Linked DNA regions of Neodiprion lecontei. The protein of the gene in region 2 interacts with the protein of the main gene of each other region in a biochemical or structural test. Links are inferred from orthologs where the notes say so. Each region holds a gene or a part of one and is shown on either strand. Other genes may lie near its edges. The genes, in order: tyrosine-protein phosphatase Lar, tyrosine-protein kinase Abl and protein enabled.

Region 1 (6,629 bases), about 21 Mb from region 2:
ATACAGAAACTCATACTTTTTCTCAATTTTTAACTGTCAATTGTTCACATCAATTTAAACTGAAAACCATTCCAGCCTCGTGGAAAATTTTGACGCCTGTTTGGAACTCACTCCAATGATTTGAAATTGAGATTTTTAATGCGTCGCGTCGCCAAGTAATTGTTCATTGAAATCGGAAAGATCGAACTTCGTTATTTTTCAGCGATTTCGCAATACGCACTAAAATAATTATTTCAGAATTTTCCGGAAGTCGTAAGTCATCGTTTTCAACGAAAGGCGCACAAAAATCGATTTTTCTGCAAAACTGCGATCTTGAAAAATTTGAATTACGATTTACAGACAATTTTGAAGAAATTATTTTCAACCAATTCAGAAAGAATCACGATATTTTCCTCTTAATAATTTTTCTTCCAAATGTACAGTTTTCGAGTTATGAAAGATGAGATCTAAAATACCTACTCCTAAAGGGCACGTGGAAAAAATCTACTAACATTAGAAAATGTATATTTGACAGTGTAGAAATAGAAAATAAATCTGCGACCCATTCGGTGGGGCTCAGGGTCAAACCTTGTTCACGTTTACTTGGACTACCACACGGACAGTAATCTTGGACAATCGGTGTTGTAATTATTTTGAACTAGTTTACGGCCATCCCGTATAAAGTCGAAAACGAAAAAGGTTACCAATACAATTACAACTACATAAATTCTACACTTTTACGGCTAGAAATATTTAAAAATAATGGAGAACCAAACAGAAATTGCGTAAGCTCACGATGGGGAATTCTTAGAGGGGAGTCGAGTGATGCTGTTTATCTTGGAAAATACTTGAGGGTGGCTGTTATTCCCGTGTAAAACAATTTGCGAAAGACAAAGAAAAAAGTGGCGGGGAAATCGAATAAATAAAATTCCTCAGTCAAGTTCGGTATTTCGTAAGCGTTTCATTCTCAGGCTGACACCGTGTCGTCTTTTGTGCGAAGGTAAACCCTCGCAAAATTACCTTCAAGTCAACTCGGCCGCGCGGTTTTCATCCTCTCTCGCAATTGGTGCTCGCAAGTTTTATAGTTGATGTGAATTTTATTTCGCGCTGCTTAACATACAGCCATAAGAGCACCCCTCACCGCGCAGCGCTGCACGTAGTAATCATTTGTCGTAAACTCGCTCGCCGCAGAGAAACTATTTCGAAGCTAGGCGGGCACCTTCGTATATCTCAAGCTGTTCCGGCCTTCCGGACAACGACACCGACACACGCGCCCAACCCCCGTGTCCTCGACAGATATTTCACGAAATTATACCAACGGAACCGGCTTAATAAGTTGAGGAAAAGAGCCATTAAGTATACTTAAACGAACTCTCACACTAAAGCTATGCGGCCTCGCCGCTTCTGCGGCTCTTCTACCTCAAAGCCATAAAATTCAGTAGAACTTCTCGCATACAATGTATGTTTGTGTGTGTGCATCAAGCACTGGATGTAAGTCTAACACAAGTGCATCCGTACCCCTCTGACCTGCAGCCCCGTCATGCCGCAGCTCTGCATAAAAGTGTAACGATTTGTCTTGCCTCGTGCGAATTCGCGGATAAGCATGTACATGGAGGATTCCAAGCCAACTCGCCGATCCGCCGCTGAAACACGCCATCTCAGATTTCTTCTTCCTATTTGTAAGCCGCGGGTTATCCGAGAAGCATCCGGAAGTGTTTCAGATTTCTTCGATATCTGGTTGTTGATGATTGATTTGATGCTTTGAAACGCTGCCGTTCTTCTCAATCTTTTACCACCAACAAGGGTCTAACAGTTGGGTTGGAAGATATTCTGAACAATGAAGTTCAGTGATTAGATAAAACAACTTGAGGCAAAACACAGTCTTGGGTATTTTATAAAATGCTTATTGAAACATCGTTGAGATAAGTACAGTGTACCGTTTTCATGTATCGTCAAATTTAACGATGTATCTCGAATCCGAATTACAAAAGCTCGTATCACCGACTCATTGATCATTGAAGGTCTTGAAAAAATGTGTCAAACGAAATTTCAACGGAATGAAATTACATTACAAAGATCGATGAACGATCTTCATGAGATCGAGAGTATTTGAAAATTCAAACGTTTGCCACTTTGAAATGGGATCAAGGAAAGGTCTGACCAACTTGAACCGAACCAACAAAGGTCTGAAACATCGTCCACATTCAGACAATCCACTGCATAAATTTCATACAAAGTGCTCCTGTTTACAAACAGATGTGCCTCTAAATCAATAATCAACCGTTAGGCAAGTCTGAAAGCTTGCGCAAGCTGTCTTTTTGATATGTTTCGCAACGTGCTAATTGGAAGCAGGAACCGAACATGGTGGAGGTGCAGGACGAGTTGAGTTGGCGCGGAATCCATCATACACATCGTGCACGAGTTAAATATGAAGTAGGATTTCTGCCCCATAAGTATACGTAAACGGTGGTGCACACGTAGATATATATGGTGATACACCATCATACCGCACGAACGGATCCTCGCAGTACGTGTAGGCTTTTCCACGAGTTCGATAATATCACGGTAAGCGAGTACTTTATCGTATCTTTTCAACTTTTTCCCATCTTCTTACCTTTCATTTTTTCCCTCTTTCTCTTCTTTTGTTCTCGCACTTAATTTCAGGTATAGGTATACACAACGGCCCGCAGTGACTCGAGATGAATTGTACAAGTTCCCTTCGAAGTTAATGAACTTGAGCACCGCAATTAGCCCATATTAAAACTCAAATCAGACTATAAAAACGCTAAGTGTACTCTTGGTTCATTGTTCTCACGGTCGATTTGTTACCTTCGGACCGTAGCTCTCCGAGCACTCAATCTTACCGATCGCGAAAAATTTGGAGCGCAAGATTAGATGGTAGAGTTTAATTGGATTGAAATTTTTGATTCGAGAAGGGTCTCACGCTTGTTTGATGTGTGAGAAAGTAAACTTCACGAAGTCACGTTATACTTCGAGAAAGTTGCAGAATCGTAGCTAAGCTCACTTCTGAAAGGATCAACTGTACTACACAAACGATCAGCGAGTGGCCAAGTCGGACCGCGTAAGGCGATTAGGCAACCTCCTGCATATTCAGGCAGTAGTTTTGAAGTAACGCGAAAGTCCAGCGAGCCGTGACACGTGGGATCGATAAGCCCAACCGTTAAGAATTCTCAAAAGTACAACGCAACAACGACTTGGAAGCGAAGAAAAAAAAAAAGAAAGAATTATCGTAAATCGCCACTCACCAATGCCGGCGGTTGGGTGGAATCCTTTAAAAAATCAGCACATGTTTCCGAAGCTCAATACCTCGACGAGCGTAAGTAATCACTTTTCACAAATACGTGTAATATCCTAGACGGTGCGTCAGCGCGTTGACTATACAATCAGCACAACAACCAACAATCACAAATTCAACTAACTAACTGATTACACAAAAACGCACTTGTAGACAGATATGAGAAAAATTCTTTTTCCTTCGTTTCTTGGGCACCTGAAAAACCCTCTTATTCTCTACGATTCCTAACCTCAGCGGGTGCCCTGAATCAAACAGGCTCGATCCCCTCTCGAACAGCTTTCGCACAGCGTGAGCCGATAATCGTCGAACGGGGTCGTATCAAGGTCGGGAAAACAACCCTCGAATAATGCTGACGTTGGCGATTCCAACGAGATCGGTACGAGCAATCGAAGAAACGCACGTTGACTTTATCTCCTCGCGAACGCGCAGCACCCCTTCCAAAAGTCAGGGTCTGACTGAGCCAAAATCAACCCTCTAACGGCTACGGCTTCCGCGCAGACGCCTTCGTCGCACCCTCCACCCCCCCTCACGGCTCCCCGTCAAGTTCTCTTCACTGCATGTTATATTCCTGATGTGGGTAACGGGTGAGGGGCGGAGGGGGAGGTTAGAGGGTGGCGCTGGAGCAGGGGGGGAGGGGGGAGGTTAAGGGCTGAAGGGTCGTCGCGCACTCTTTCCCCCTCATCGTCATCCCCCCCCCCCCCCCCTCGCGGCATACGACATGTCTGAAGAGCGTAGATGACTGGACGTGTGACCATGCTCGGTTTACAACCCTTGAGCGTCTACGGATACCCGTGGAAGGATATGCATGAGGATGGGGTCAGACGTTTGTACATTTTACAATACGCCGCCAATCTTTGCCGGGCATGTATATGTATAAGGTAGAGCTTCGGAGTTTCGCAAGGATAGTCAAGTTCAGAGTATACCTGGTCAAAGGTGTATGTATACCCTAAATCCAACTATTCGTGATCGTAAAACCAACCTTGACAGCTGTAACGACTGACTCAGTTTAAGGTGTTTACGATACGTTTTGATACGACGTTGAAGAATTTGTGAGAATTTTACATAGTACTACGCGGGGAATCTAGATAGTTGTTATTTCGTTGGAAATGGAGGATTTTTGTTTGTTTGTTTCTTTTTTTTTTTTCTTCTTTATATAGAAACATTGTACAGCGAATATTTGAAAATCGTTTTTCGAAGCGAGAAAAAAATAATAAAAATTGTCACAGTTGGTGAAGTAATAGTTTTTCAGTCATCGAGCAGACTCTTTGCTGCGCGATAAGTTGGAAATTTCGATCGATTATGCGAACCATTCTTTTTAATTTTTTTTCTTTTATTACTTTTAATATGAAATATCCAACGCAACTTGTCTCGCTACGGGACAATCCGTACAGATATTTTGCTCTTTCGAGTTTTTACAAATGACTCTTGAATCGAATACTTCTTCCAAACACGGATGCTTTCAACTCAGCAAGAAAAGTGTTAATTATGCATAGGTGAAAAACGAGAAGTTTCGGCTATGTTGATATAACCATTTCGCAAGTCTGACCGAGTTTTTTTTTATGGCGTAAGGTACAATAATACTTTATATTTCCATAAAAAAAAAAAAAACTTTGGAGACACGGCTCCAACTCCTGTGAGAGAATCTTGCAACTGTTAATATATCAACCAGCTTGTCTCTTTCCATCTCATCTTTATTCATGATTGATTATCAGGACGAATGTACAATGGTTTCCTAGGAAAAGTAATTTCCAGACTGCTTCGAGGGGGAGGGAACTTTGTTGAACATACGTAGTAAAAACATAATTTTGTTGCTAAGAATGCTGAATTAAGAAATCTTGCCACGAGAATGTAGTATACGATATCATAATGTTCATATTTAATAGAAAATTATATTTTCTGATTACATGGTTAGAAAAAAGTGACTCGGAAGGTCCACTAATATTTTTGGGTTGATTTAACCTCTTTTTAATACATTACTCAACGAAATAAAAAACACAAATTGCAACAAATTTACAAATTAAAGGTTGATATGATAATTTGTGTGTTATAGTTACAACAACTTCTGTCGTATTTACCAACAGAAATATAAACTGGATCTGTTGGGACATTATATTTGGTTAAATTTTGCTAACAGTGATATGTGTTTGTACGAAATTGATTTTTCTTTTTCTAGATGATTGGTATTTTTGAAATGCTGGTAAAAATTTTAAATGATGTAGATTCGGCTTTTAGCTGTTAGCTTCGAACTTTAAGCTTCATCCCTTTCCTGCACGGTGGCACATATGTATGTACCACCTATATTCCATGGCTCTGATTTCAGATTCGTGACCAACATCCCCGAAAACCCCCCGGAACACCCCTTACACATAAAAAATATGACTTACAAAAATGAGTGCGACAAAACGTTAAACCTTACCTGAGGATGATTTTCCACTCGTAGTTATTATTAAGATACGCGCGAGTCAAACGTGGTGTGAGATGTATTGCTATTCAAACTAATAAGAAGAGCGAAATTACGGTCATCTCTGTGATGAAAATTTGCGGCATTCGATGATTTACGCATTTACGTAGATTCGAAACCGTTCAGCAAAGGCGTCATGATTCATGCCTTGGATAACGTCAGAAAGAATAATTGTTCGAGCAGTGAAAATTTGAAAATTATGACCGAGCATTAGCGTACCGTGTAAACATAATTGATTATACTTCGGCTGGCTATTAAAGTCTGAATTATCAGCGAGCAAGTGTCTAGCGTCTAATTATGGCTTTCCATTCCTTCGGAGCAATTCGCGGAATGTCGTGAATTTTGGTCGGTTCGAAGAATCGATGTGTTCACAATTAGTAAGTGATCATCTCTGTTTTTCTCGTTGAACAAGCACCGTCCTTAGATATTAATTCGCACGTAATTATCAAACTGCGTGGGTACGCACGAACGACTTTGGTGAATTTATGTCGATATTATTATATACCTACCCTGGGAATTATGATCCTTCCGCCAAAAAGATTAAAATATAAACGGAGCTGAGGGGAAATCGTAACTACGCGCATAAATTTTTTGGGGTTATCCCTTACCCCTATTATTTTGTACCCATAATTTTAAGCCCGATATCGGTATACGAGAAGTAGGTTTATTCACATATTAATTTGTGAATTTCCAGCTCCCCAAGGATTCTCACAATTGAGAGGGTCACGTTAAACTGCAAAGCACAGATATTAGTAGGGCTTAAAGACAGTAGCAGAGATTGAAGTCTTTCAAGAGTCACGATTTTGTTCGCACAAATTGAAGATCATACAGCCTGGTGGAAAAGTTGCACATCCCTAAGTCATTGATAAATGA
Region 2 (6,613 bases):
TGAAGATTGTATTGAGGGTAAGGCCATGAGGTTTTTTACCTGTGAATGAAGTTCCTACTTTCCAAGTAGCTCATACCGCTGGCTATCTGTGTAGCCATGTGCATTAGGGCAACAGCATTGATTTGGTGTTTACTCTCGTTTCGTAAATAGTCGAGAAGGTTTCCCTTGCTCATAAATTCAGTAATTATATAAAATGGGGGCTCTCGCGTACAGACGCCTATCAACTGTACCAAGTTTCGATGTTTCATCTCTTTCATTATCGCCGCTTCTTCCAAAAAGTCTTTCAATGCCATTGTGTCCTCCTGGAGAATGGCAAAAGTGTGTTTTACGTTATGGAAATATTACAAAATTTTACTAAAAGTAACAACGCAGTGATAAAGCACTTTGCATCTCACCTTCAGCGTTTTCACTGCGACTGTCATGTTATATCTTTTCCATAATGCCTCGTATACATCGCCATATTGGCCCCCGCCTAATTTATGCTTCATTACTATGTCTGTCCGATTAATTTCCCACTCGTCTGGTTCTAAAATTTTTACAAATAGCAATTAGAGTTTGTCATAGTACGAATCCAAATGTTTATAGATTACGCTCACACATAACCAATGACTTGGATAACTTTGTTAGTAATAATTGAAGATACTTTAACCCGTTCCTTCGTATCTTACCTGGACTTAGTGGGAAAACGGTAGGTTTGTTGCGCTTGGGGGCTGGATAAAGTAGCTGAGTAATCAGACCATCGGCCAGCATGGAATGATGATGAACTAACTCAGCTAACGTATTGAATTTACTCTCCGTTGTAACAAACATCTAGAACAGTAGTTTGTTTGAAATTTGAATTTACCATAAGATGATGTCTACGAGATATGTTATTATACTAGAGTCATTACCGACCTTTCCTTCACTGTCTTCATTTATTCTGTAATGATAAACGCGCCCTTCATATCGTAATGAAATACTTCGTTGCCCAGGACTGCTCTCTGATTCTCTAACTAAGAAACTTCCGTTTATACCCGAACTGAGCAGATACTCTGCAGCATTTCTTGATATTCGCCCATGGTACCACGAATGTTTTTCCAGCGAATTCACGGGGGTTACGTAATTTGAAGGAACCCAGCCAACTTGGCCTGTACTGGAGTGGGCTTCGCACCATTCTCCACTCTTGTTGTAACTTGATATACGAACTTGTTCCCCTATATAAATATATTTCCAATAGTAACTTCAGAATACATTTTTTTTTTTTCATTTTGAAACTACAATTTGAAATTAAATTAAATCTCCTCAAGTCAAGAGTATAATGTATGCAGTGACGAGATTATAGTACCCAAGTGAAGAAATAATTGATACTGTAGATGGAATGGAAAAAAATCCCAGAAATTACCTTTTTTAAGGCTAAGTTGATTTTCACCACCAGCTTGGAAGTCATATAACGCTACAAATAATTGCGGATCATCTTCTTCTTGAGCCAGAAGATTTTCTTTGCTTGTCCATCTACAATCAAGGGTAAGTAAACAGTTTCTCATATTATGTTCATCGAAGCACATATGGCAACTCGTCATTTTTTAGGGCTGGGTGATGATTGTTTTAAATTTGAAAATTATTTGAAAATATGTTCTATTCAAATGAAATTAAGCCCATGAATTGAAATATCCAAATTTTGGTTAATATAATATTTCCTCATATTATGTTCTATTGCATTGGGAACAATATAATGAAATTATAATTTGCAATATATTTTACCGATTAGCAGCTTCCAGAAGTCCTGTAGTAGTGACGCTACTATGCTGCTGCAGGCTGGACTGTTGGGAAAGTGATTGAGAACTTGAACTGCTAGGTGGATCTCCTTCAGGTAAGGCTGGTATATGAGGTAGAGGTCTACTCTGTAGTAATGCCTCTGAAAATGTATGATCATCAGTCACATCTTGCCTCAAGACAAGCAACGTTAGATCTAGAATATCGGTATGAGTAATTGAATAACAGAAGTCAAATGAATTTAACCGCCTTTTTTTCAATGCAAGTATACATAGACTCAAACGATAAATGAATGATATCATTAATTACATATTTTCAGTTATAAAACAAAGAAAATGCATTTTGTAAAGGATATTGATGCTATATTGCAAGTTTGTAATTTGTGAATATTCCCGTTTCTCTAACTTTCCAATGGTTTGAAAAGATCTGAACTTTGTTCGATTTTGTTTGTTTTCCAACAGTCTTATAATAAACTGATCATTCTAACAAGGACATATTATAGTTCGGCACAATTTGTTCCTGAATAAGAATTAAATACTGCTTCTCAAAAAATTTGTGCAGCTCAGAATTAAGGGCAAAATCTACTGTAATTTTGTTCCGATAAATTCAACTTTAAAAGAAATGATCTGCGACACGGACAAATGCAATTAAAGAATTCATTACTGATTATTCGGACCACATACATTAGAACTAGTTGCAGGAAATGAACAGCTACTGTTCACTGATAATAAAGAATATTCTATTTATAATCGTTGCATTGCAAATTTTATTAATCAGAATCAAAAAACTTTGATAAAGAAATATCGAACACAGAGTTAAAAATAACTGCAAAAGGAAGTCATATAACACGATTCACGCCGTTTCTCGTTTGTTTTGCTTCATGTTGTATTAAATATAGCTGTGTACGACAAACTAAATTCCATTGTAACAAATGAGTACATTTTTTTTTCCAAGTAATCGATTCCATTAATATAAAATTCTTATAAGTATAGAAGTTCGATTGAAAAATTTAATTCTGTGTAAATAAACCCGAATAAGGAAATTCGAAGGTGGACATAAATTAACACACTGTGTCGAGGAATGGAAGATAATATCGAAATTTGTACAATTACATTGGCTCTGAATTGACTATAATGAAATAATAGCAGTAAATCAGAGATGAATTCATTCTGTATCGATGTGATTTTATCTGCGAGGAACTTCATTGCGAGTCTCTATTCCATGTTTCATTTGGCAAACAAATGGATAAAATAATTGTATTCGAAATTGGACTTATGCAATGTGTGATATTAGTACATAACGTTGTGATGAGATGAAGGTTGTCAATGAAAACGGAAAAGGTAAGGAAAAAAGAAGGAAAGAGTAACAATGAGTGCGTGTAGGAAGTGCGATTGAATGAAATGAGAAGAAAAATGAAACTGTTAAAACAGGAAAAAGGGAGGGGTAGAGTCTTACAATGAAAATGGAGATCAGCTTACCGCTGTGTTCCGTAAAAATGTTCGATCCAATGAGCCTGGATTCCTTCGGGTTTCTGGGCTGTTTCCGAGTTTGTCGTACGGCAGACCCGGTGGGAATCACTCTATCCTTAGTCTGTTGAGCACCCATAGTTCCTCGTTTAACATACCCTTATATTCTGCCCCGGCTGAAAGTACGCCGAGGTCAACTGCTTCGCGCATCAACCTCCAGGAGCACTTGATACATTTACATTATACGGGAGTTTGTGAATAGTTTAAACAAGAACTGAACCGCGAACTGCTTCCTCCCCGTGCTCGCTCACATTTTTACATGTCAATTAGATATCACAGACCGTTCGCCATGTTTGACAGCTTTGACGTCGATTATTTAGTTTGTCAGTGCATTAATGCGGGGCAGCACGGTGACGAAGTGGAGGTGGTGCAGCCAGGGAGTAAAATGTGCAACTGCTTCGATATGTTGTTATGAATGAGATAGAACTCGGATTAATCAAAACCAGGGTTGAAGCAGTCGACTTTGCATATACGATAAGCGGTATCGATTCTCTACACGGGATCAAACACGCTGACAAAATATTGAACAGCAAATCTCGCATTACTGGCAACAATAAAAATTACTTTCATTTTAATACAGATATAATCACGATACGATGTGCAGTAGTAGTACGAGAAAAGACTGCCATCCCAGTCGCCAGTTTTTTATTTCATCCGAGCATTCGACCCTCTCCAGATGGGGCGACAAAGCGACTGAGGAGCCAAAAGCGAGCCGGTCGACGTACCAAGTTCGACCAATGAGGAGTCGACAAATTTTAACGCTATCGATTGATGCGTTGAGGGTTTAATGACCGAAATCGTAATCGATTTTACACTCCGAAGAATTGTTATTACTCCAATCACGGTTTACCGTCGAAATAAATCGACGACGTATGTACGCATCTATGTATGTTACATACCTAGAATTTATTCCTTCTAATTCAGAAAATGCTAAGAGTACACTACATAACTACATCGGTATCTTTGCCCAGCTTCGAGAATTCCCCGCGTCTGCGCGCCTGTCTGATTTAAGTCCTTTCAGCCCTTAGAGTATGTCATACTACTGGTTAGCGTACACAGAAAGTGCAGCAAAGGAGTGAGAGAGAGAGGTGTATGTTGGTTATAACCTGTCTCTCTCATTACTCGGGCTGCAACTATCGCGAGGTCGATGGAATAGGTAGCTCCCTCCAGTAGTATATGCTCCAAGTTTCAGCCAAAGGGATTTCTCCTGACCAACCATTGAACCCCGTCCGGTATAGACCGTGAAATAGTCCTTAGTTGCTAACGGGGAGTTCTTTGACAGTTCCAAATCAAATGTTAATACCATGTTGTCTTTTTGAGCCAGTAGACTGTCGTTAAAATAATCATTGGCACGTCAATACGGGCCAAAAGAGTGCCGTAAGTTCGATTTAAGTGATTCATATGACACGAGAATACAGTTTATTTATTAGGAGTGACAGACGGAGTTAGGAAAAACAAAAAAAGAAAAAATATTGTCAATTTGATATTAATTATCATTCTACCTGTGCGTTCTGTTCGTAATGAGAAAAGTATAATAAAAGAAAGAAAAACCAAAAAAAAAAAAAAACACTAACTTAGTCACGGCTAGTAATTGTTTCTGCATCTCCTTCCGAACATATGTACCTTTGTCTGCCGAAGTTTCGGGATCCGTAGAACAGACAAGAATAAAGTTATTGCAGAAAAAACCATAACAAATGGCCTAGTCTATCAGGTAATTGAGAAATATCAGACAACCTTTAAGGGTATTAACCGTTGGTTTGGAATGCGATTTACTGTAAAAAAAACTAGACAGGTTAGGTTTTACTTTTGCAGCGTTCAAATTTGCTCCTCATTAAAGTGGCTATTGGAGAAAATAGAGTGGTATTTACCATTTTATCATTCGTAAGTACATTATACACACAACAACCAGACCTCTAGTATTTCTCAGTAACTAAACTTCATAGTCCCAACAATGCTAGCTGTACTCTATTCAAGGGATTCCAACAAAAATCGTTGGATCTATGTTCTTGTCAACATATTTTCCTTATTTCTCCCCACGAGATTTCCAACCGTTGTGAATAAAAGAAATTAGGATTACGAAGAAAGAAAGATAAAAAATAGGGAGTGGCACGTTTTACTGTTATTATAGGTTGTTACTCGTACGATTCGTCATCTCACTTATCAATAATACGACTGCGTCGTACAAGCAAGGCATGCTTCTCTGTTGTCGAGTGAAGTGTTGTATAACATTTCATTACCTTTGTGATGATCCTGTGATCTATTAATATAAAGTCTTGAATATACGTATGCAAGTACGATGATACGTGATTACTTTTGGCAAATGAACTTACTTCAATTTATTTTGAGACTCGAGACACGCCACAGCTTCTGTATTCTCTTATTATTACCGCAGTCAAGTTTGACTTGAAAGCATAACGTTGTCCAAACTTTTCATGCATCGTTTATAATTGTTCATCAAACATTGAAATTTCTAAAAGAAGAATATTTTTACAAAGTGTTCAAGGCAACTAAATAAACGCGGAGTAGTTTACTTGTTATTTCATTGCTAAGTTGACAAGGTCACCTTGGAATCCTGTTTCTTCATATCTCTTTCTCAATGGATAAAACATCAATTTCACTGTAAGATTTTTCTATACTGTAAATTTTTCATCCCGCTCGGAAATCATGCAAATTCAGATTTGCCGTCTTCATTCAGATCACCTAGTCATGTAGCTCATTGTCGTAAAACTTTAAAGTATTTTACAGTCAGTGATTAATGAATATTTTTCTGGTTTTTTTCTTTCATCATTCTACTAGCTGGCCTGACATGTCAAATCCTGGAGATCGTTTAAGTTATGTGCAAGATAGTAGCAGCGATACAGAGACAGACTACAAGGAAACGGATAGCCGCGGTCGCCACCGCGTATACAAGAACAGATTTGGGTAGGTTGGATTCTGATACTAAAGATAAACGGTCTGAATAATGATACGACGTAGTAAACGTATCAAAATTTCCTAAGCTATAAATTGTTCTCTTAATATGATGTGAGGTCGTAAAGAGAATGTTCAAAGTAAATAAAAAATATTGTACACGTCGTTGAGTATTGATGTTATTATTACATAGAAGATAGTAGTTTAATTGTAGCTTTAGAATTCTCTGCATGTTCGTACGTTATTTGTTCAGAATGAATATAAATTATCTACTATAATAAATCTTTTTCTGAACAAGAATAATGTGTCTATGGTAGAAACAAGCAAGTGAATAACATTAAGCACGCTATTAGCTGTAGAAAATAATTTAATATTTGATTGTTTTCTGAAGTATATTAGCAAGATCAGATTAAAATAGAGGATTG
Region 3 (6,530 bases), on a different chromosome or scaffold from region 2:
CATAATCTCTAAAACTGATCAAGCGATCACATCGCATTGATGATTTGTCATTGTATTATTCAGGGCACCAACGCTGAAGAACATGCGCGCTGTATCGTTATTGGTGAGAACCTCTTCACTTGGATCTTCGATCTATTCCCAATCGCTCTAACTGAACGAGGATCATCAATTTTGTGAAATCACTTGACGAATAACAATAGTTGTAGCAGTTGATAATTTTTTATATCAACTTGAGGAATACTCAGATCACTCCGAAATTTCGTTTTTTCTCTACCTAAAGGCCATTTGATTTTCCAAAACGTATGTCCGCCCACCCGAGTGGGTACTCAAAATTCTAGAATTTTTCCGATCGATAAGATGCGAGTGATAATTCACCAGTACGGAAAAAAAAAGTGACAAGATTCGTAAATCCAAATAAACAGATAAAGAAACAAAGAAAAGCGAAGTGTGAGTTGAAAGGTCAGCGGTATTTGAGTAACGTGACAATGTTATTTGAGAAATATTATTTCCAGCACCGGCTTTACATGTTATACCGCATATCTATAACATGGATGTAAGCAGAGACAATGATATCCGGCAGTCGTAAGTCACCTCATGACGTTCTCGCGATCAGCCGGTGATCCCCGACTCGCAACTCCACCCCCGACCTGAATGACGGTTGTGATGCCGCTCGCTATCGGAGCGGCGGTTGCCGATGGGGGGGCAGGGCTTCCACCGAGGTGCCCCAGGGACAAGGAAACTCTCGACACGCTCCCTACGCTCCCTATGCTTCCTACCATCCCCAGGCCCCCCTGAACGGGACCAGATCCGCTTTGGGCCTGGCTTTGGCTTTGACTCTGACTCTGACTGGAAGCACCCAACACATCATTGACCAGTGACGATAAGTAGGTACCTGCTATTTGCATGGGATCATTGAGGCATTCAAACGGTTGGTAACTCATTCTCAGTAGTTTCTACATCGATGAAGTTATTTCTACAGTCATTTCGGTTATCTGGATTGTACTTTGTCAGTTGTTATCTTGACTGAGCATACAAGATACAGTTGATCGTGAGTTGTCTCCTTATCCTGCATTGATTCGGTTATCCATCTATTTATAGACACTTGTCATCGCTGCTATTAAGTCACTTCTTCGCAGTAGATATATTATCTTTATCTATCCAACTGTTTCGTTAAATTAATTCGTTAATTCAATACGCAGTAACTTAATTGTCGCGATTTATACTCAGTTATCCTCTTGTTCGCAGGCGACACGGAGTGATTTATTCAATTACCAGGTGTCATTTAGTCAGTTGGAATAATGAGTAACTCGATCAAAGTTTCCAGGCGGCCTGATTGCACGGAGCATATGTCCTGCAGAGTTCAGGGACTTTGGAATTGCACCTGCGGTCTAAACAATGCCGTAAATTTTTCCTTATTCAATTTATTTCGGAGAATCCCGTCAAAGCAATGTACAATATAACCGAAGTATCATTCGAGTAAAATTATGCATCGCATTTTTCAAAATAGCACGTAATTAGCAGCTAATTAGCACCCAAAGAGCCTCCTTACCTCATGTTCGGTATTTCTAATAATATGGTTCTACTAATATTATACCAGTCATAAATTATATAGTGACAAGAATGAAAGAGACGGAGCAGGTATGTACACTGTGAGTTTAAGAATAGTCAGGGTCTATTAGTCCTCTTCAGAAATCTGAGTCGATGGATCCTTGCAGGAACATTTACATATAATCGTTGGCAAAGTGCCGCTATTCGGGTTCTCGAATCGTCCTGAAACGCCGTAATCGTCGTCTTATCCTGTTTACCATATTATTGCAGATAACATACTCCCGTCACGTATTGGACAGAAATGAAAACATCGGGGACAAAGAGAGCACTCGAGAAATGGAACCCAGAACGTGAATCGAGGTGAAAGGTAAAACCGCAAAAAAAAAAATCAAGTAAAATTGGATAAGAAAAACGAATCTAGGGACTGACCTGTATCCCATGTCCTCTTCGTACTGCTGGGTGATACCAAGAGGCTGTTGCTGTTGTTGTTGCTGTTGTTGTTGTTGTTGGGACTGTTGCTGTTGCTGGTAATTCGCCGGTGCTGTGGAAGCGACTGCCGGACCCAAACTCCTCGAGATATTGCTGCCGTTGCTGAGGACCTGGGATGAAAATTCAGACGGATTAGTACGGGTTAAAGTTCGATCTTTCAATGGCTACTGATGTATCATAATACGCCGCGAGCTCAATTTACTTCATTATAAAGTTAAAGGTTTCTAAATTGATAGACACTGCCAATTGTCACGGTTATTGGATAATCGTCGTTGATCTGTAACGAAAGGTAAGGAGGAAAAAAAAACTGCATAACCTCACGCAGTGAGTCAGATTCGGGAAATGGAGCGACTGATATATTCGAGTCAGGGTTTTGGTAAATGGTCTTAATAACCGAGTTGAATCTCGTTTGTGAATTATTGGAGTGAAAAAGCGAAGGCTGACGCGTTGACGTAATTTTTTGCATCGGATATAATATTCGTGTGGCCGGGAGAAGTTATCCAATTACACGGCATGTGGCTCGATGCACTCTGCACGTTGCCTTCTCTCTCTCTCTCTCCCTCTCTTTCTTTCTCTTTATCTTCTTTTCTTTCTCCCACGCAAGCGTCCGGTTGATTTCGTGTGCGACCAGCCTGACAATGAAGTAATTCAATACATATCCGTATCTCTCCAGGTACAGCTGTGTAAAGTATATCGAAGATAGTATACGTATAAAGGTAAGAAAGCCGCCCCATTTTTGACGTCCGCATATCATCTCCGCAGGGTAAACAAGTGTAATATATAATACAAGAAGTGAAAAGATACGGGGACCTTTCTCCAAGGTGCATAGTTCCAAGACGGGAATGGTTGATAAAAGAAAGAATTTCGACTCGGCGAAGAGACAGAAAGAGGGAAATAAAAAGTATACACAACACTTACGTCGAGGGCCTGCAGCATGGCCTTGGCGAAAGCGTCGGCGTCATCTTTACTCGAGAAGTTCAGCCCGTAAACTTGTTTGTTGTCCCGCCATTGGTGAAACGTAACCGTAGCCTGATTGTACTTCAGTCCTTTGAGGATAGCGCAGTTTATCACTATCTCATGGTCCTGGAGCTTCCGACCGACCACTCTGAAGGTGTTGTTCACCTGGTGATGGTACAGCTGCACCTTCGATAAGCCGGACGAACTTCCGCTCGGCACCCATTTCTTGTTCACGTCGTCGTACACCATCACCGACGCCCGTGCTGATGATATGCTTACCTCACTGCGAAATGGATAATGACATTGTTTCGTTAAGTACGGTACACACCAAGTACCAGAACGAAGTCGGTATGTCGATAAACGATAAATGGAACAATAATGGATTCATCGACATTGTGACACGGATTCGGTAATATGACGTAGGAACATCGCGTGTTTCGGAAGTGAGATTCGATGCAAAGATCCACCATACTCGCCAAGTGGTAAGAGATCATTGTTATTCGTCATTAGAGACGCTGCCACGTGTGCGTTGGCTTAGGGGCGAGCCGAAAACAGAAATGGAACAGACGGTAACAAACGGCTTGGAAGCGAATGGAATTAGTTAGCATTCAATACCATGCCCAGTAGGTATTCCAGTCGGACCAACGTTTGTGATTAGCGGTTGTCATGTCGGCGATGGTCTTGCCGATGAAGGGTACGTGTCGTCCTTGGGTTGTACTTTACCCTTGTTCCGGGGTACCGTTAGGAGTTGGCCCGAGCCAAGGACAGAGGAAGTCACCCTGTCACCTTGTTTATTTTTACAACACTGTCCGAAGGAGGAAGCCGGCTAAGACGATTACTTCATCGCCGCAAGCTCCCCGCCAGCTTTGCAGGTAAACGATGCCATTTTCGTGACACCTCACTGCGCGAGTCTTTCAAGGATTCGCTTTACGGTGTTGCCTCTGCTGTGCCTCCGGGGTATCGGTTGACTTTTGCGAAACGGGGAAAACGCGGGGATTCAATTACGTCTGCAGCATGTTGCCCTCGTTGTTTCGTGGTGAGCACCCTTTTTCACACCGCTACCCGGAAAGTTTTATCATCGACGATAATGAGCAGTGTTCGAGCATTCTCAAACTTCTTTTCAGCGATACATCACTGAAAAACGAACAACTTTTTCCGGTAAATAATTGCCTCGTCCTTGCGGTGTAAAATTACACGTTAACCCTAATTCGTCACACCGCGGCAGAATCGAATAACGGTTTTCCAGTTCCAAAAAAGCGATATCCTGCTTCGACGATTTGTTCTAAAAATCGCAACAAAAAATATCTAGGTATTGTTTAAGGATCGGAGAAGAGGCTCGATTCAGTTTTCCTAACCACAATTCATTGTTTAAATATCGTAAGACATCGGCAAAGTTGAGGTAAAGTGGAAAAAAAAATTTTAAGGAATTTTTTTTTCGATTAGATACAGAATTGATTTCCAGCAAAACGAACGACTGTCAAAGTCTATTCCTGAAATCTACGAGGAGTTTGATAAATTTTTGGGATGAAATTCGCTCAGAATGATTCATTGCGGTTAAACGAGTACCTGATAGTATTGGTTTGATTTCGATTTTTTTTTTCATCTAATTTCATTCGCTAACGATGTGATCTTCTTTCAGAAATAACTTTACAAATAAAGTTGAAATATCTTTGGCGACGGTATATTTTCGACGTTCTCTTGTCTCTTAAAAAGTTAGTAGTCCTGGCAATTGAAATCGGACCGACATCGCAACTCGGACGAATAATTTCGATAAAAAATGTTCTTTATTCCACACGACTGAACACGTATATATACATTTTATCCCCATACGTCAAAGTCAACTCATACTCGTCCCCTGAATCCCTTAACCTTTTTTCTCCTCGGGTTGCGGATTCGATTCTCCTTGGAACAAGGGTGATAAAAAATGGTTTCTACGAAGAAACTTTTTTGCCCTTGAGTATTGTGAAATGAAGTATATAAATCGCAGTAGAAGAGTTACGCCGTTGTTGAACAAACTAAAATTTATTGAAGAATATCGTTACATAACATCTGATAATATATCAGCCGATATGTCGAGTATCGTAAATACATCGCCACCATGACGGTTACGTAGGATACTAGGAATGAAATTCAATCGAGCGAACTGCATATCTTTTACCACCGTTCCGCTTCTCCTTGACAGTCTAATATTTTTCAGCTTTCGATAAAAATCATAAGAAACCGTATCTCGGGTTAATACCGAAGTCGTTAAAAAAAAAACTTTCTGCACTACACAAATGAAACACTGTCACGAATCCCAAGGAGAAAGAAGTTCACCGATCACGTTATGTCTTTCCAACTTCCGACAGATATTCGCGAACCCGGTTCTGGTCCTTCAAGACGTTATGATCTGCGGTGATCCCGTAACGTCCAACGCTTCGGACAACTTGATTGTTCAGACTGAAGTCTCCGGATGAAATGTTTCACTGCAGGATGTTGCCGACCACTTCCGGCTGCAGTACACATTCCTCCTGATAACAACAATCGTGCGCGCATTTCCTATCCTACGTGACACATATTCCAGGGTATTTTTAACCATTCTCGCTTCATAGCTGGCAGATTCGCGAAAACATCCGAAAAGGAGTATTAAAAAAATCCCATCATCATTGCTGTAGGAATGGTGCAGAAAAACAATGCGTTGTTCCTGTTACCGCTTGAAACTGTTGCTGCAAATACGAATGGATGATCTTTAATCTACACCACACCACTAGATTCCCAAACTCGTAACATTGACTTGGTACAATTGCCACATTTGATAGCATCCGACATTATCGACCGAGTGAAACGAAAGTCAGACACGTGTGCCTGCAGCGAAGAAACATGAATAGTCGCCGATGACCTTCTCAATTACACGGACGATTAACGCGATTACTGATTAACGGAGGTTGATCGCGATGCCGACAATCGTAATCGGTGCTTTGGAAATCGATCGGCGGGAAGGGTTTTCTCTCCACACTTCCGGTCATCCGGAGAAACCATCGTCCGGAGGTTCCGCGTACCGCAGCTTAACAGAATGCAAAACAAGAGCGTGATTCTCAGGTTTATACTTGCAGATCACGAGACGACGACGGATCGCTATCACGTTTCAACTTCTCGCATCCTTCTTCCGCGTTACGCGAATACCCGGATCTAGATGGTGTGCATGGTGCAAGGCACGGTTCCTTGCTTCTTTATACCTATAACCGTGAAACTCTACACTGAGAATAATTTCATTTGTTACAGTAACTAGAGAAATTCAGTAAAACCGGTATCGTTAAAAAAAAACTGTTTGAATATCGTTGGAATTACGAAAAACGAGGTACGCCTAAACATTTTGCGCTATCGTCGATCCTTTTTTGGTTATTGCAACGCAAAATCAGTTTCCGAGGTTTACTCTACTTTTTTAAGTTGAACAAGGCTTTAACGTCAATTTATCGTTGCACGAGCGTTAAATTTTCGCAACAGTTGCAAGAAAATCTAGCAACAGCGATCGTAATGAGAAAGAATAGCAACGGATA

The links.
Region 1: of the proteins of tyrosine-protein kinase Abl (region 2) and tyrosine-protein phosphatase Lar, one has a biochemical effect on the other in vitro, tested with the Drosophila melanogaster proteins (2 studies listed by BioGRID, with this or other methods). The link is inferred for Neodiprion lecontei from reciprocal best matches to the Drosophila melanogaster genes Abl and Lar.
Region 3: of the proteins of tyrosine-protein kinase Abl (region 2) and protein enabled, one has a biochemical effect on the other in vitro, tested with the Drosophila melanogaster proteins (3 studies listed by BioGRID, with this or other methods). The link is inferred for Neodiprion lecontei from reciprocal best matches to the Drosophila melanogaster genes Abl and ena.

Annotation. Positions count from the first base shown.
Region 1 is NC_060261.1:27,255,907-27,262,535, forward strand, and holds the start of tyrosine-protein phosphatase Lar, read right to left. Parts: upstream 3,734-6,629; 5' UTR 3,525-3,733; exon of another isoform or gene 3,246-3,524; intron 1-3,245. UniProt on the Drosophila melanogaster protein: Possible cell adhesion receptor. It possesses an intrinsic protein tyrosine phosphatase activity (PTPase). It controls motor axon guidance. In the developing eye, has a role in normal axonal targeting of the R7 photoreceptor, where it negatively regulates bdl.
Region 2 is NC_060261.1:5,820,833-5,827,445, reverse strand, and holds the start of tyrosine-protein kinase Abl, read right to left. Parts: upstream 3,952-6,613; 5' UTR 3,358-3,951; coding exon 3,231-3,357; intron 1,895-3,230; coding exon 1,741-1,894; intron 1,492-1,740; coding exon 1,382-1,491; intron 1,194-1,381; coding exon 895-1,193; intron 811-894; coding exon 669-810; intron 527-668; coding exon 396-526; intron 303-395; coding exon 40-302; intron 1-39. Other genes in the region: BTB/POZ domain-containing protein 10, read left to right, coding at 5,041-5,159, 6,075-6,200. UniProt on the Drosophila melanogaster protein: Arm and Abl proteins function cooperatively at adherens junctions in both the CNS and epidermis; critical for embryonic epithelial morphogenesis regulating cell shape changes and cell migration.
Region 3 is NC_060264.1:29,524,899-29,531,428, reverse strand, and holds the start of protein enabled, read right to left. Parts: upstream 4,128-6,530; 5' UTR 3,663-4,127; coding exon 3,610-3,662; intron 3,278-3,609; coding exon 2,956-3,277; intron 2,148-2,955; coding exon 1,978-2,147; intron 847-1,977; coding exon 592-846; intron 1-591. UniProt on the Drosophila melanogaster protein: Functions, together with Abl, trio and fra, in a complex signaling network that regulates axon guidance at the CNS midline. Required in part for robo-mediated repulsive axon guidance. May be involved in lamellipodial dynamics.